Lonchura striata: one gene and its partner. The protein of the gene in region 1 binds, or shares a complex with, the protein of each later gene. Links are inferred from orthologs where the notes say so. Each region holds a gene or a part of one and is shown on either strand. Other genes may lie near its edges. The genes, in order: CNOT2 and CNOT8.

Region 1 (8,380 bases):
AGAGACAGTTCTAAGCTTTTCCTGATTTTACATCAACAGCTGAAGGATGGATAGAACATGGTCTTGATTGGCACAAGACCTGCTGCAATAAAATTATTCCATTTACATTTTTCTTCATATGTGTAAGGAAATATTAACCAACAGAAGAAAGGCCACTGTCTTTGAGAAACAATATTGGGAATGATGAAGTCAGATTTATTTTCTGACCAAACCTCAATTGGTTTCAGGTCTCAGAGTACCAAGTATCCTTTTACTGGTTGAGCATGTGAAATATCCATAAATGTCCTCAATAAAAAACCACTGCAGGCTGAATGGGGATTATAGCACAGGGCCAAAGTATATCTGGTCCACTGAATAGATCTCAGATTATCTCATATTTGTACACAAAAAACCCACAAAAAACCAAAAACATACTCATCAGCCTTTGGCTAGTAATTTATCTGGGTGTTACTACAGATTGCTAACAAGGATATGGCAACCACAACTATTTCTCACAAAATCTTTTGCCATTCTAACAATACTAAAATGAATAAAATTCTTGCTCGTGATATTCCATGTTTGAATATAACTGTGATTTGTCATATTGTCTTTCTCCCAAGGGAACACTTGAACTGGAAAGGCCAAGCTAACTGTAAGGTAATCTAGTCCATTGGAAGTCCCAGTGAGAAGAATGTGTTCAAAGAATGTGAGAAGGTGGCACTTGGGGACACAGATTAGTGATGAACTTGGGGGCAGAGGTTAGTGATGAACCTGGAAGTACTGGGCTAACAATTAGACTTTCTGATCTTAAAGGTCTTTTCCAACTTAAGCAAATCTATGATTCCATGATTCAATTGTTTCAAAAGAGAAATAGCACTTCTGACCAGGCTGCTCCCCAATGACCATCAGCTGACTGCAATCTTGAGAACTAACATAAAAAGGGTTTCTCTTTCCCCACTGCCATAACTTCCATCTCTTTGGGGATAATGTTGTTCAGGAATGTCAGTCAGCACCTACTCGGGCACTGGCTTGTATCTCTAATGCTTCTCTCCCCCAGAAAACATATTTCCATCTGCATCATTATTCTTCTCTTTGTCTAAACAAACACTTGAAACTGCTATCTCTAATTCTTGATTTATCCTCTCATTTACTAGCACGCTGGTAGACTTCTTAGTTGCTATACAGCAATGTGAAGCATCTTATTTTGGGAAAATGCTACATTTTATCTCCTCTTTGGGGTCATATTACTTTCCAGAATTGTCAGACTTCTTTTTAAATTTGGTATTTTTTCCCCCTGATACTCTGTTATAATTAGCACTAAATCAGACACTGAAGGCACTAGAGCAGAAGGCTGAGAAAGGGTTTCCTGGTAGTAAAAATATGAAAGACTGAGATAAAGATACTTCTGCTCCCAATATTCCCTCCTGGAAACTACAAATCCAGCAGATGAGAAGCCATCTGTGTGGATACCTTGTGATGCATTTTAACGCTAAAATAGTAATTGAGCTGCACTTCTAGGGCTTCCCTTGCCAGCAGCCATCCCTGGAAATCCCCTGTAGGAGTGAAAGGATAGATAAGGACAGTGCCATGGAAACAGCTGATCCTTCCCCTACCTTTCTTAAATGCACTAGCAACTGGAGACTAACTTGCAAAAGTCAAACTATCTAACCAAATCTGCACAAATCTAAATATTTTGTGCTCAATTTCAGTGTAATAGTTAAGAACTACAAGTAAATACACTAAGAAAATGTGAGGTCTCAGTGCTTTTGTTCTTGGGAAAAAAAAAGTGTTGTCAACACCTCTCTAATCTCTAATAATAGATTAATTAATAGATAATCTCTAATATTAGATTTGGTGTACATTTTGACATACCTTTATCCTCCTGTTATAGAAATATTTGAAAAATCAAATAGGCTGTACTAATGAAAAAAATCTGCCACGTTCTTCTAGGCCACAGATTAATGCAGTGCAGTGCTGTAACCCTACAACCTTCCAAATAAAGCAATGGAGGCACTTTTGAACATCATTAAGTAAGAAATAGATTAGGGAGAAGCTGCAGAAAACAGAAACCTCTGTCTTCTCCTGAAGCAGTATTTCACTGTTTTAGCTGATCAAATGCACTTTGCAATTCAAGCTGTTTCTTCCAAGGGACTTAATCCATAATCTGGGAAAGAAAAATACAACCTTGTTTCACCACTGCTGAAAAGCTGCCAACTCTTGCTCCAGGTGATTGCACTGTATTTGTTTTTCCTGAAAACTCTGGTGACAATACATAGGTGGGAGAAAAACTGCATTTCAATTAACATTTTTGTTCTATTTAAAAATTGCTTATAGGGTTGCTAATTCACCATGTTCTGCCTCCACTCTTAAGTGAGGATGGTCGTCTTACTATGACTAATTTAATTTCACGTTTTGGTGAAGTGGAACAGCCTAACCCTGCCCTACACATACTCTGGGTAATTTCTCCCACTTCTGCACCTGCATTGCCCACATCTGTTGGTGATACTTTGAGTCACGGAGTGTTGATGAACTCTCTGGAGCTAAGCATTTGGGGATTCAAAGCACACCTGACTCTTTTGATGACCTCTTCCCAAACTTTCCAGCCAAGTGCTGTTGGTTTTTAGCCTTCTGTAGGTACTAGCAGAAGCATTAGCCAGTGAAGTCCAAACGGATGGTAGGCAAGTGTTGGGAGTGCTTCAGAACACATGCTTTCAGGGCCCAGCTTTCAAGAACATTAGGTAGAAGGCTGTGTCAATGGCAACACATGGATTGTTGACTGCAGGGGCCTGCACACATGATCACATGCAGGACAGGTTTCTGTAATCATGCTTTGTAGTTCCTTCACCTGTGCTGCTATAGACAAAAGTTTTCAGATTGACTCCTACAGGCATTCTTACACTGATTGAAGATGGATGTGTATCAACCTAGTCTGTGGAATAAGTAAATAGTAAGAGACCATTGATTAAATGAGAATAAAAATAACAGATGCATATCAGTTTGTAGACAAAGACCTAAAGAATGAGGTAAAACTCTACCATACATGGTTCAAAATGGATTAGGACTGTCCACACAAATTATCAGTCCTCGTGTTAGTTGCGTTCAGGGCACTTCTTTAATTAAGCAGATGCAACTATGGGAAACAGACCTCACCTTTGTAACAAAATGTATTGAGTCAAGACTAAAAGCAGCAAAGGTATGAGCACATACTTGACAATACACCTTCTTTACTGGTAGCCTTGGACGTTATTTTAACACATCAAAACACTAAATGCTTTCACTTTCTTTAAGAAAACAAAAGAGGAAGTAGAATACACAGCTACTACAGCTTGAGTAATGAACTTCCTCAACTAAACACAGAGTTAAGCAGAAGGACAGGTTAGATTTTTTTCAGTTAACAGAATTTTAATCACAATTTACACATATTGTGAGTGCAGGTTGGGTTGTTTATACTAAACTAACCAGTCTAACACAAGATAACACACTTTTTTCCCCATTACTAGCTCTGTTGAGCTAGTCAAGCTTCTTGTCCTATAAATGCTAATTGATTTGTATGTAAAGTGTTACTTTGCAATGAACAGAGAGATCAGCCCATGTACATGCAATGACAATATCAGGTTCTTAGTTTACTTACAGCATATTGTTTGGTATTGTCTTAATGACTTCTCTTTGGGAAAATTGAAGGAAAATTAGCTTTTAAAAAAGAAAGTCAGACCAGTGAAGAAGTGTGAAATGAAATATAATGAAGCAAGATGTTTATAATCAGATATAAAAGAATCAGACTATATAAACACTAATAACACTGAAGGTTAATAACACTGATTGTATTTTTCAGTATAAAAGTACTGCTTTTGTATTTGATTTGTGGTAAGAGGAAATTTTTGATTTTTCAGACTGAACAACAAAAGTGGTCCAGAAGTTCATACTATAAACAGCATGTCACTTTTGGTACTTTCTAATGGTTTGATTCTAGCAAATGCATGAATTTGTCACAAAGGTTTGTGATTGGAATAATAAAATGCAGTGCCTTCCTGGATGGTGTATATACACATCCATTTCAATGACATGGCAGCCATTCTCATCACACAACTAAAGCTGGTGGCAAAAAGAAACTGGTCTCCTGGCTTAAAAGGAAGGCTGCTCTTTTATCTTCAAAATGTATTTATGTTGATAGACATGTTACTGTAGTACCTTTTTCTATAAAATATTAGTGTTGTGTAACCTAATGAGTTCTTCAGTAATTCTAAATTCAATCTGAAGGTTCAAAATCAAACCTGAGAAGAAAGCACACGTGTGAAACTATTGAAAGAAACCTGCTATTGCTGCTCATATCTTTGCTTGAAATTTTAAACTTTATGATGATTTTACAAACTAAGGTGTCAGTGCCATTGTTTTGTTTTGTTTTGTTTTGTTTTGGTTTGGTTTTTTTTGATGGAGCAGAGCACCCAGCTCACAAATGATGTTGGCCATTATCCTGTGAACACTTGTGCAAAGGCTTAGCTTTTTTACCATTGACAGTCTCATTAAATTCAAGGGGATTATTTGCATGAGTGTTTTGTGCATCAGCACTGGCTGTACTGAAGCCACTGCTATAACACACATTTTGTGGGTCGATAAATTAAAAGTCCACTTAGGTCATCTTGTAAATGCTTTTCCTCTTTATTAACACACAAAGTTAATAGCTGGACCTGTCTCTCTACTGCTATCACACTCCAGAGAAAATGGGAACTTTGACACAATTTACCCCATCGTCGGGTCGTTCCTGACCTAGAACCTCCACAGGATGATGCACAGCCTGCGGAGAGGCCAGGCCGCTCCTTCTGCGCTCTGCAACCCAAAGGGAGTTGACAGAGCAGGGCCGTGGAGGATGGGACACCCTCTCTGGAAGCCGGGGCGCTCGCCAAGGGAGCGCGTCCACCCGGGGTAGGTCTCCAGAGGCCCCGGCAGCCCCGGGGAGCACAGCGAGGGGAGGACCGGAGAGCCCCGCTGCGCCCCGACCCTGCTGACCCCCACGCCCCGATCTGGCCCGGCACGCCAGGCCGGCGCCCTCTCCCCTCAGAGAACGGGATCTGGGCCGGGCGCGTCCCCGGCCAGCAGCGTCTCGGCGGGGCCGGCGGGCACCGGCGGCATCCGGCAGCCCCGCGGCCTGCGGGCCCTGCCCCCAGCGCTGGGCCGCGTCTCCCGCGGGAGGCGGAGGGAGCGCAGCCGAGGGAGCCTCGCTGCTCTTCCTCCTCCCCTTCCTCCCGTCCCCCCCAGCCCCTCCGCAGGGCCGAGCCGTTGCGGGCGGTGCAGCGGCGCTGCCCCCGCCCCTCGGCGCCGGCGGCCGGGACGAGCGGCGGCGGGGTCACGGCGGCGGCCGGGTCAGAGGGTAAAGGTTGCTCCCCCAGCATCCTCCGTGCTGGATACTCAGCCATCTTGGATTCGCGGGACAAGAAAATTCATGCGGTGAGTCCGGCCCCGGCCGCCCCTTCCCCGGCCCCGCCGCCGACACGGGCCTCGCCGCCGTCCCGGCCGCGGCCCGATGTGGGAGGCCCGGGCGGCGGCGCGGCCCTCGGCGAGGCTCGGTGGACCTGGGGCCGCCCCGCCGTGTTTCCGTTTGCTTTTGTCTCCGAGGGGGAGCGGGGGGGACGCGCGGCGCCCGAGCCGGGGGCGCAGCCGCAGGCCCGGCCCGGCCCGCCGCCCCCCGCCCTCCTCCGCGGCCGCGGGCGGCGGGACCCCCGGGCGCCGCTGCGGGGACGGGCGAGCCCGCGGCCCGGCTGTGTTTGGGCCCCGCATCCCCGCGGCCGCCGTTGGCAGCTCGCCCTGCGGCCCACTCGGCCCGCCCGACCGGCTTCTTCCCGCCGCCGCCCCGCCGGCTGGTCCCAGGCCTCCTCCGTCCCTCCGAGCCCGGCCCCGCGGGGCTGCGCGGCCGCCCGGCCCCCGCCCGCCGCCTTCCCCGGGCCCGGCGCCGGGGCAGCGGAACCTGCCGCCCACGGCCGGGGCCGCGCTGGCCCCGCGCTCCGCCGAGCGGCCGTGCGGCCTGCGCCGCGGGCCCCGGGCGGAGAAAGGCGGTGAGATGGGGGTGTTGCTGGCTGGCTTTCGGTTGAAAAATTATTTTATTTTCTTTTTTTTTTTTTTACTTTTTTTTTTTTTTTTTTTCTCCTGCGTCTGTTTCACTCTCCTCCTGGTGCAGGTTAAGGCTGTGTGTAAACAGGTTCTGGCTTTCCCTCGGACGTGTTTGTAAAACAAACTTGAAAGGGACAGAGCGCGGGCGCCGGAGGAAGGAACCAGCCTTCCCCTGCCCGCCTGGGCGGCGATGACAAGCTCTGGCGTGAGCCTGACCCGTGCTGGGAGAGGAGGTGGCACAGGGTGACAGGTTAGGGATAAGAGGGGGACAGTAGGGCGGTGGGAAAAGATGCAAGTGTCAGTGTTAGCAGTCTAGTTAGTGTATGTATGCTTCTGGTGAAAACAAGGACCAACTAATGGGTGTTCTTGGTTTTAGGATGGGGTTTTTTTGGTGAAGTTACAAGTAACTTTGTTTTGGAGGCTCTGTAATGTGGGAAAATGAAAATATGTTTGTGTAAGGTGGTATTTGCTTCTGCTGCTTATTCAAATCTAACACAAGCATGTTTAATTTCTGCTGTCTCTTTTATCAGGGAAAAAGTTGTTCCCAACTTTGCAGTGTTTTATCCCCAGGGGAGGATAAGAACTTTCTGTGTATCTTTCATAAACATATATGTGTTTATGTGACTTGAGTGCGTGGAGGAGACACTCCTATGTGCCTGCACAAGCAGCAACATCTGGTGTTGGTGACTGGCTGCTAGTCTTAACTCTTCAGCTGGGGAAGGATAGATTAAGATGATCAAACCTGCTGTCATGCCTGTTATTGGAAAACTTTATCTTTTGGAAAACTTGGATTTGTTTCAGACTTGTGAAGACCTGCAAGAGCAAAGTAATTTTAGAAGTTTATATTGCAAAGGCATCTTCCTTTGGATCTGGAAGAATTGTTGTGTATGTGCTGATGTACTTTAAGTTACCTTATACTGACACATTAATGGAACATAGCTCACAGGATCAAGTTTTGTGAACTTGAACATGATGTATCTGTCCCATGCCTTTTTTTCCCTCTTCTTTTTGCCCCCCAATTCCACTGTTCTTTGTGTTGTGTATTCAGTTGGTATGCTAAACTTCGAGGTGTTGACTGCTTCTGATTTTAGAAAGGGATTTGAATACTCACTTATCAAGAGCTGACTGACTTGACTTGCAAGTGTATTTCCGTTTCATTTTCAGCAATCTGTTGATAAAGCTAAGAGTGTAGTAGTAGATAAACCTTGTCTACATATCTCTTCTAGAAACTTAATACTGCTGTCAAGGTAGTCATTGTTATTGCAATCTATTTGTGTGTCAGTTCTATCAAGAAATGAAAGAAAAGCCCTTGGCTAAAAACTGAAAATAAAGAAACCCCAGAAATTTATATCAAAAAAACAGATTTGAATTTTCTTTAACAGAATCCAGTTCTAGTAATTGTCATTTAGTGGAAAAAAATAGGACACTTGGTGTGTTCTGAAGTTTGATGCTAAAAAATTGTTTGATGCTAAGAAGTGGCTGTTTCCACCTGAAAATCTTGGTCTTTACCTTAGTAGCTTCATATGAAAATTCTATGTGCCTGCAGTGGACCTTTAGATCTCAGAAAGTATTTCTGTTTAATTTTTTAATATTTCTAAATGCATTTCTGTCTGGATAGAGATTAGCTTTGAAATCAGGAACATTATTGCTGTTTTAGCCTCTGTTGTAGCTTTCTTAAAAATTATCCTAATATTCATGTTGATGGAAGGGCTGTTGTGTAGTAATTGCTAAGTAGTAACCTCATTATGGTTTTAAAGGGGCCTTGTATCATAACTTTGTTTATTCAAAAATATCTTCCACCTCCATCCTTTTATGAACTCAAGAAGATAATAGAACTTAAAAACACACCGTATTTCAATTAAAACAGAGGTTTCTATCACCTGGCTTTCTGACTTTATCTGGAAACTAAAAATAAACATTGAATTGCTTGTTTTCCTTTGAGGTAGTATATAAAGTGCACCAAGTACAGAATTTTATTCTAATGGAAGTAGACCCCTGTATCTAACTTTTAAAATTATGTCTTCCCTTAAAGCTATAATTTGCTTGAATAAAAGGCACCTTAAAAATGCGTTATCAAAAAGGAAAATTTTTAAATTCTTGGCAGAGTATTTGCCACATTTGTTGTGTGTCTTTATAAATGTTAGCTTAAATAGAAAGCCTTTTACCAGTTTCTATGGAAGTACAGTACCTTAGGAAGTCAAATCAAAATTTTTATGACAGATTTAAGTGATTGCTCTGTACATGATACACTTTTTCTTATTTTAAATTGTTATTAATACAGAAGGTATGTAAATTTCAA
Region 2 (8,159 bases), on another chromosome or scaffold:
GAAAGAGATGGAGTTTTACATAGATATATATATAAATGAAGTTTCAAACATTGTTCCAGGAAAAAAAGGCACACAAAATTATTAAGAGAAAAGATAATGAGGATAGAATTTTAGCATGGCTTTGACTTCCAGATACACTGTTAACTCCTGGCACTCCAAACTAGGTTCCCACACAGTCTGTACTAGAATCTGAATCCTTATTGCTCAGAAGCAGCCAGCAGTGATGAGCACATGGACACTGGTATTTGCCAAAGGAAAGCATCACTCCAGCAGAAAGAACAGGAAATTAATGCCAAGCCCAAAGACTCACGTGAGGTTGAATTTGAAGTTGAACTGCCAGGTGTTAATGCCAGAAGGGTATTCCCCCTTCTCATTTGTGAAAGTCAGGCCCAGCTGGATGATTTTCAGCAGGTCAACGTTACAGCGAAGGAGCTGGTACTGATAATCTATGGAGCTGCGGAATTCACCGATTGGCCTGACAACGACTCCAGGGAACTCCGTGTCCTGGCAGAGAAGGGAAAACTGAGTTTCACCATGGATTCTGTCAGCAGTCATTATTACCACTCTGTGAGGGCAGCCCAGACAGTGAAAACCTTCACAGCTTCTGAGGAACAGTCAATGCCCACATTAACAAAAACTGCTGTCAGTCAAACACACCTCAACAACAGCAGCCACCTATCAGATAAAAACCATCTGTTAGGTGAAAAACCTCTTACCCAGCCAGTGACTGTGTGCAGTCTGTGCTGAACACCAAACTGCCGCTGTTCCTACCCTCAGACTGGGTCACTGAGCTTCTGCTGACTACACACAAAATCTTTCACAATGAAGCCAGTGCTGTGCACCTGACATAATCTCTCCCTTGCCCAAGAAGTTTATCTGTCTACTCATACAGCACAGTCACTCAAACAAACCCTAAGAACACCTCCAGTGAGACTGAAAAGAAGCAAAAAGTTCATTTCCCATTGACAAATGTTAACAAAAAAATCATACTCACTTCCACAGCTGAATTTGACACCAAAATCCCCCACACTCTGCAAAGGCACCTGTCTTTTGCCACATTTTAATGAGGACTTTTCAGATTTTGAGGTTCAGTGCTCCTAAGCAAAGCTGGCAGAACTTACAGTACCACAGCTAAAACCAGTTCTTTATCTAACACACTGGGGTGCTGCCAAGCAGATACAGACTTGTAAGAGCAGGAGGAGATTCCTCCCACCTAGGGGAGATTATGCTCTTCTTAAATAAAGCTTTCTGAACATATTGTCTTATCTACAGCCAGAATATTTTTCTTCCCTAAGAATCAACATCTGCCTTCATTTGAAAGGAGGCAGCCCAGCTGCTAGCAGTGACTTGCAAGCCTTTTGACCACCACTCCCATAGCATCATCTATAATCAAATGAAGAAAAACATTCAAAGGACAAACACACTGGTGGAAAAATAAGGATTTAAACCCAATTGTTACTTGTTTAATTTTCCTGCTGCACAAATGAATACACTCTGAATAGCTAAATATTAAATAAATTCACGTTTTTAAGTTAGTCTCCTTCTTCCCCTTCTTTCAATCAACCCATACTCATCACCGCTTGTATTAAATTCTGAAAAGCTACCAAACAGCTTTTTATTTTTTCACCTCTTTTAGTTCAAATTTTCAGGGGGTAGGAAGAAACATTTCTCACTCAAGAATCAACTTAGTCCACAACCCCAAAAAATCCCTTGACTAAGGCAATTAGGTCAAGTATAAAACATTTACCATGGCAATGTAGCTGTAACTCAGAACAATCTCCCGAATTTTCCTCATCTCTTCCTCCAGGTTGTTGGCCCATACTTCACAGATAACCTGGCTGTTTTCTGCAAGGGCTGCTGGCATCTTGCAGGGACCAGAAAAAAGGCAGCTGATGCTGAACTCAAATGACAGTGCAGGATCACAAGCTGTGCAATCTTATCAGTGTGCTGCATTAAAGAGATAAATAAATAATGCTTTAAGTGAAGGAAGAATAACATGTGAATAAATGAGCTGTAGGAGTCAGTCACACTACCATTTTCACCTTCAAACAACCTGTTTAAAGTTTACACCAAGTTTTCCTGCTTTATCACTTTCTGTGAACATGCTGAATGAAATCAAGAGCATTTGTTCACAATATAAAAGTAGATGCACAATCAACAGTCCAGTAGAATCATTACTCCTATCTTCCTTTTCCTGGCATAAGCTTTGACACTTAGGGCACAAGACGTACAGGCAGGGAATCCTCATCTGTAACTCTCAACCCTCACTCCAGGGATATTTCTCCATCCCTGGAAGTGTTCAGGGCCAGGCTGGATGGAGCTCTGAGCACCCTGGTCTAGTGGAAGGTGTCCCTGCCCACAGCTGGGGGGAGGAATGAGATGATCTTGAAGGTCCTCTCCAATCCAAACCCCACTGTGATTCTATGATGAAGACAATTGTTTAAACACAGTAACAGAATGCATTAGAGAGAATACTCATTGGATGGAGTTTCAAGGGGTAGAAATATCTAAAGGGGGTGCTAAGAAGATGGAGCCGGGCTCATCTTCGTGATGCCAAGCGACAGAACAAGAGTCAATGGGCAGCAAGTCATGCACAGAAGTTTCCTCTGAACATGAGGAAGAATATGAGCAAAAACTGTGCAGGGACCGGGCACGGGAACAGCTTGCCCAGAGAGGTTTTGGAGGCTGCCTCAATGGAGATTTTCCAGAATGGCCTGGACACAATCCTGTACCACATACTCTGGGATGACCACACTTGAGCAGGGAGGTTGAACCAGGTAACCCACTGCGGTCCCTCCCAACCCATTCTGGGCTTCTTCCCCCTGGGCTGTGACTCGGGGCACACTGCGGCGGGCTGTTCCGGCTGGAACCACCGGCAGCGCCAGCAGCGCCCCAGCTCGGGCGAGCCACCGGCTGGTGCCGCTTTCCCGTAATAAAAACCCCGGCGAACCGCCGCCAGGCGTCTGCGAGCGGCCTGCGCCAGCGCAGGGACGAGCGCACCGCCGCGGCGCGGCCCGGGTCGCCTCAGGGCCCCTCACAGCCCGCGGGCGGCCGGACGCGGCTCAGCGCGGCCGGCAAGCGGGAGGGCCGCCGCCCGCCGAAGCCCAGCGCCAGGCGCGGCCCCGCAGCCGCGGTGGCGGTGCCGGTGGCGGTGCCGGTGGCAGTGCCGGTGGCAGTGCCGGTGCCGGTGGCAGTGCCGGTGCCCGCCCCGCTCCCCGGTACCTCCCGGCAGCCGCGGCCGGGACGCGCCGCTCCCGCCCCGCGCCGGCTCCGAGTGCCCCGCCGCGAGGGGCGGCGCTTCCGCCGCTCGCGCCGCTTTGCCTCTCGCGAGACGTGGCGGAGCGCGCGACGGGGCGGGTACATCTGCCCAGCCCACACCGGCTGGTGCTTCCCCCCCCTCCCCCCGCTCCCGCAGTGGGCTCGCCCGGGCTCCCCGCGCTGAGAATGGCGGGCGAGTCCAAACTCCGCGGGCGGAGGGGGGAGGGATGAAGGAGCTGGGTGTCTCCGCTCCCTGAGGGAGGCGTCGCCATAACGCCCGCCGGGGCTGCGGTGGGCTTCCAGCATGGGGAGCCCCCGGCACCCCGATCCCTTGGGACAGGGGCTGCGCCGGGCCCCGGCTGAGCGTCCCCGAAAGAAGCAGCGGCCGCCCCTCCCTGAGCAAGGGGAGGTGAGGGGGTCCCGGTCGGGGTGAGGCCCGAGCCCCCCCGGGCTCCCAGGCCGCGGGCGCGCAGGGTGGGAGCGGGATGAGGGTTTGTGTTCCAAGGGGATTTCCTGAAGCTGCTGGCCTGGCACGCGTTGCTCCTACGGTGTAGTGCGTATTAAGCTTATTAATGGAGCAAGTTCTGCTTCTTCCTGCAGGGGCTTAGAAGTCATTTAAGTCCCTACTACTACACCTGCAGACTTATAGGCTTCTGTTCCAGGAGTGGAATTTACATTACGTTAGCAACAGAAGGTTGTAGCTGGTAAAGCAGATACTGGTTGTGTAACACGGCTTTGCTGGCTGATGCTGATGGTACATAGGCAATTCATTTGGAAGCTCGTCTACTAATTAAACTTAGATCGTATTTCCTTTATTTTAGACTGCCGTCCTTCTGGACGGGGTTGCATCTTTTGTAAAATATATATTAAAATATAAATAAAATATATAATCAATAAATTATATACCTAGATTATAGATATAGCTGTATATCTAGATAATATATAGATATATATAACCTATATATCTAGATATATAGATTATATATCTATATATATATAGATTATAATCTGCATCTATAAAATATCTCTAAAATATGTGCCTCTATAAATATATATGTTCTGGTACTGGATTGTCTGCCCACCATATGGGAGTCTTTCCCTGAATCTCGGCTACTTGCCCAGCATTTTGATCAAAGTATCTGGAAAAGCAGATATTGGTATCTTTCACACATCAGACACCATTCAATGTCTCAGGTTTTATGTTCATGCCTCAGCAGAAATGTTGCCGTTAGAAAAGAAGAGGGTTTTTCAAGAGTTGCTGTGTTGAGTGACCTTGCTGCTGTCAGCATCTTGGTACATTCCCTTTATTGCGCATTATTTTGATTCAGAGTTTTATCTTCAGGGATGATAGAAAGTTACTGTTTTGCCTTATCTCTGCAGTCTCTGGTGTTGTGCAATTTATGCAACATGCAATATGCTACACTGCCAGAAAGTAACCACCTTTCTTCCTGTGGTCATTTGAGTCTGGGGTTTTGTACAAGGAAATCTGTGTTGTTAGCAGGTAAATTCAGCAGGCTGGATTACAGCACCCTGTAAATATAAGATGAAATTTTTATTTCCCAGAAGAGTTCAGAGACATTTTTCTTGCTCGTAAACCTGGTGCTTGAAGGGATGTTGAATCGAGGGGAAAAGGGAGGATGCATCTCCTCAGGCCACTGTAAATATCTGTGCCTTGGTACTGTAATAAAAAATGTTGCAGGCAATAATCACCTGTGATAAATTACATTTGTAGTGTGTAAAAATTTGTCTGTAAAACAAAGCTGTTCAGAGATGTTTGCAAGCACTGGAGACACAGTTTGCTCGAAGAAATCAGAATTTTTTTCAAACATGACATGGCTAATAAAGATTCAGAATAGCTGGAAGAGGCACCCTGCTCTTTAAAAAGTCCCATCATTTCTGTATTTGGAGGTTACCAAGGTTGCTTCCAGCTCCAGCACTCCAAAGCAAGTCTTGAAGAGTCCTCACATCTACATACGAGTGTAGAGCTGCATTATAAGGTGGAATAAAGGTCTTTAGCTCAATGTTTTCACACTGGGCAGCTGGAGCTGCATGTCCTGTTGTGCCTTTTCTTTAGAGCTTACTCACAGCACCACAAGAAACCTTCCTTGTGGGAACCCTGAAAGGTGAATTTATGTTTTCCTCAGCCTTCTGTTGTTCCACAAGTGCTCCCAAAGCACTGCAGTGCTAGGTGGTGGCACACGTGCCCTGGCAGAGGGTGAGAGATCTGGTTCAGAATGCAGGGAATTAGGCAGTGGGTGATGTGTGCCAAGTTCAGATTCCTCTTCAGCCTTTTGAGGAACTATCAGTATGGGCTTGTCCAGTCCCCTGAAAGATACTTCATAGATTTCCCCCTGATGTTCCTCTCAAACAGTGAAACAACCAGTGCTTATTACAAAAACTCTGGGGAGTGAACAAAGTTGTGTTAGGAAGTGTCTGATCAAAAAGCTTTTTTTGCTGAGAAGGAATCAGACTTCTTGCATGGCTCAGCAAAGATTGCAGCAGCATTGGAGTGTCTGTGGCAGAGACACCAGCGCAGGGCAGCCAGCAGGCAGAAGCAGCAGTTTGATCAGTGACAACCTGTGCTAGACACACAATTGCAGCAGAAGTTCAATGGCACTTACAACCCTATGACTAATGTGCTGAGTTGTCCCTATGGGTATGAATATTTCAGAGATCACCCATGCTGGAATTGAGCAGTGGTTCACAAGGAACACTGAGGTCTGAAATTCACTATTGGCTGTTGGTTGAACAGCCCTCCCCCTGCAAGCTCACATCCAAAGATCAGTGAGGACGTTATCCTTATGGCACCCCTCTCTTGAGATGCTCATTTCCACTTCCTCCTCTTCGTGAGTAAATAGTTTGAAGGAATCACATTCCTCTCTGTTGAGCCTGCTCTGTGTGATAAATACCAATTAGTAGCAACAGCTAAGAACTACAGTTTCTGTCCCTACCAGGGAATAGTTGGAACTAGGCAAGAAAAAGTGATGATGGAAGCAGTAACAGTGTTAAACACTGTTCACTCTTGCAGAGCTCTCTGCAGTTCCAGCTCTGCTGGAACTAGGTGTTACTGAGAAAAAGCATGTGTTGCTTCACCTGAGAAGGGCAAACAAGGATAACTGGGAGGCAGAGGTAGTATTCCCTGTTTTTCCTCCTGTGAAAAATAGATCTGGAGAGTTATGATAGTAACACGCTCAGTTCTCAGAGCTTAGTTTGCAATAGGGCACTATTTATGGGCTGAGTAACAGATTGGGGCCACATTTGCATAAGAAAGATCGATGCCGCTGTAAATTACATCTTGCTCTCTGCAATACCATAATTACACACTTTATGGTCTGTAAACAACATGCTTAAAGACAACTGAGCCCAAGTACATGCTAACCTATGTGTGTCTTCATCTTAGCCATGCAAGCAAAGCCTGTTACTGGTTGAGGGCACTGTGTAGCAACAGAGTTGGAGTAATTTTTAGATTTAGTACAACAGGATTAAATCTGGACTGCTGGGTTTTTGCCAAATTCCACAGTAACCCTTACTGATTTTAACAAATACCTTTGACCCATTCAGTTGCACTGGCAGTAGCTATTTTGTGCTCCAGCCATGAGTTGGTGAATTATAAAAACTACTTACTTTTAGGGGTGTTGGTGGATTTTTTGTTCTCAGGTACAACGATGAAAAACTTACCTGCAGAATCAGTGTATTCCACGTGCTTAACTGAGTAACAGCATGCACATAGACATGGGGAACAGTGCCAGCACTAACAGTGACATGGCACTGGCTTCACATGACTTGTCTGGGAGGGGACAGGCAGCTCCTGCTTGGAAACACACCCCTATTGCCCTTGCCTAAACCCTCATAAAGTTTCGACAGGAGATGTGAAAAGTGAGGAGCTGAACTCTGCTCTGAACAGACAAAAAGGACCTCTCCTAGGCTACCATCAGGCAGGTGGTGAGAAAGAACAGGCAGCCAGAGTTCAAGGGTGCTTGAAAAGATATGATAGAGACTTTGAGGAAGTCATTAAAAGGCAGTGTCATGTCTGTGTGAAGTCCATTGTCAGCTTTTCTAGGAACAGGGGTTCCCCTAAAACTGTGCAGTGCTTGGTAGGACATCAAACACCACTTCTGGTCCTGTGTCTCTCTACACAGAAATGCGGCTGTTCAGGTGACCAGGTAAGTGGTCCTGTGTTTTTTGTTCTGTATGTTCTGTACTTCTGTGGATAGTCACAGCCTTTGTTCTCCCAGGAACAATTTTCCACTGTCTGTGCCATATAAAGGTTGATTTCAGTGAAGTAAGACCTACACCAGAGACTTCAGGAGGAAGGCACAGGGAATCCCAGGGAGCTGGGGTGGGCAGCCAGTCCATCACCTCAGATGGAGCTGTTCTGAGCTGTGTCTGCCGTGCACAGAAGGACGCAGTGCAGTGGGTGCAGTACAGGGAAGGGGCACCTGTGCTGCCTCAGCTTGAGGCTTTCTGGGCACCAGAAGGAAAACAGAACTGCAGGCATGGGGCATAAATAATAATTTACATGTAAACAAAAAAAAAGTAACAAATACAGCAGGGTTTTTTTCAGATTCTACTCAGATTGTATTGAGCATTATACTATGTATTATATTGAGCATTTTAAAACATGACTTAGACAAGCTAGCTTTTTTACAGTACCAAAAGTGAAAAATTCAGTGAAAACAAGATCTATGACTTAATGAACAGTTTTTGGGCAAATTAAGTTACACATGGAAATAATAATATTAAAAAATGTATTACAATTCTTGATTGACTAGTGTATGTTTCCCCTTTAATGTCAAAAGACTGATTAGAAAGGCAATTACTTTTACTCCAGGGTTGAGAATTTGCTTTGGATCAAATTTTGTGTTAACTAATTCAAAATAACGGGAAAGGAACTTTTTTTA

What was found.
Region 2: CNOT2 (region 1) and CNOT8 share a complex: the UniProt entries of both Homo sapiens proteins name them as parts of the CCR4-NOT complex. The link is inferred for Lonchura striata from reciprocal best matches to the Homo sapiens genes CNOT2 and CNOT8.

Annotation. Positions count from the first base shown.
Region 1 is NC_134607.1:44,842,188-44,850,567, forward strand, and holds the start of CNOT2 (CCR4-NOT transcription complex subunit 2), read left to right. Parts: upstream 1-5,291; 5' UTR 5,292-5,421; intron 5,422-5,972; exon of another isoform or gene 5,973-6,026; intron 6,027-8,380. UniProt on the Homo sapiens protein: Component of the CCR4-NOT complex which is one of the major cellular mRNA deadenylases and is linked to various cellular processes including bulk mRNA degradation, miRNA-mediated repression, translational repression during translational initiation and general transcription regulation.
Region 2 is NC_134617.1:5,120,465-5,128,623, forward strand, and holds the start of CNOT8 (CCR4-NOT transcription complex subunit 8), read right to left. Parts: upstream 3,310-8,159; 5' UTR 3,223-3,309; intron 1,948-3,222; 5' UTR 1,865-1,947; coding exon 1,748-1,864; intron 505-1,747; coding exon 311-504; intron 1-310. UniProt on the Homo sapiens protein: Has 3'-5' poly(A) exoribonuclease activity for synthetic poly(A) RNA substrate. Its function seems to be partially redundant with that of CNOT7.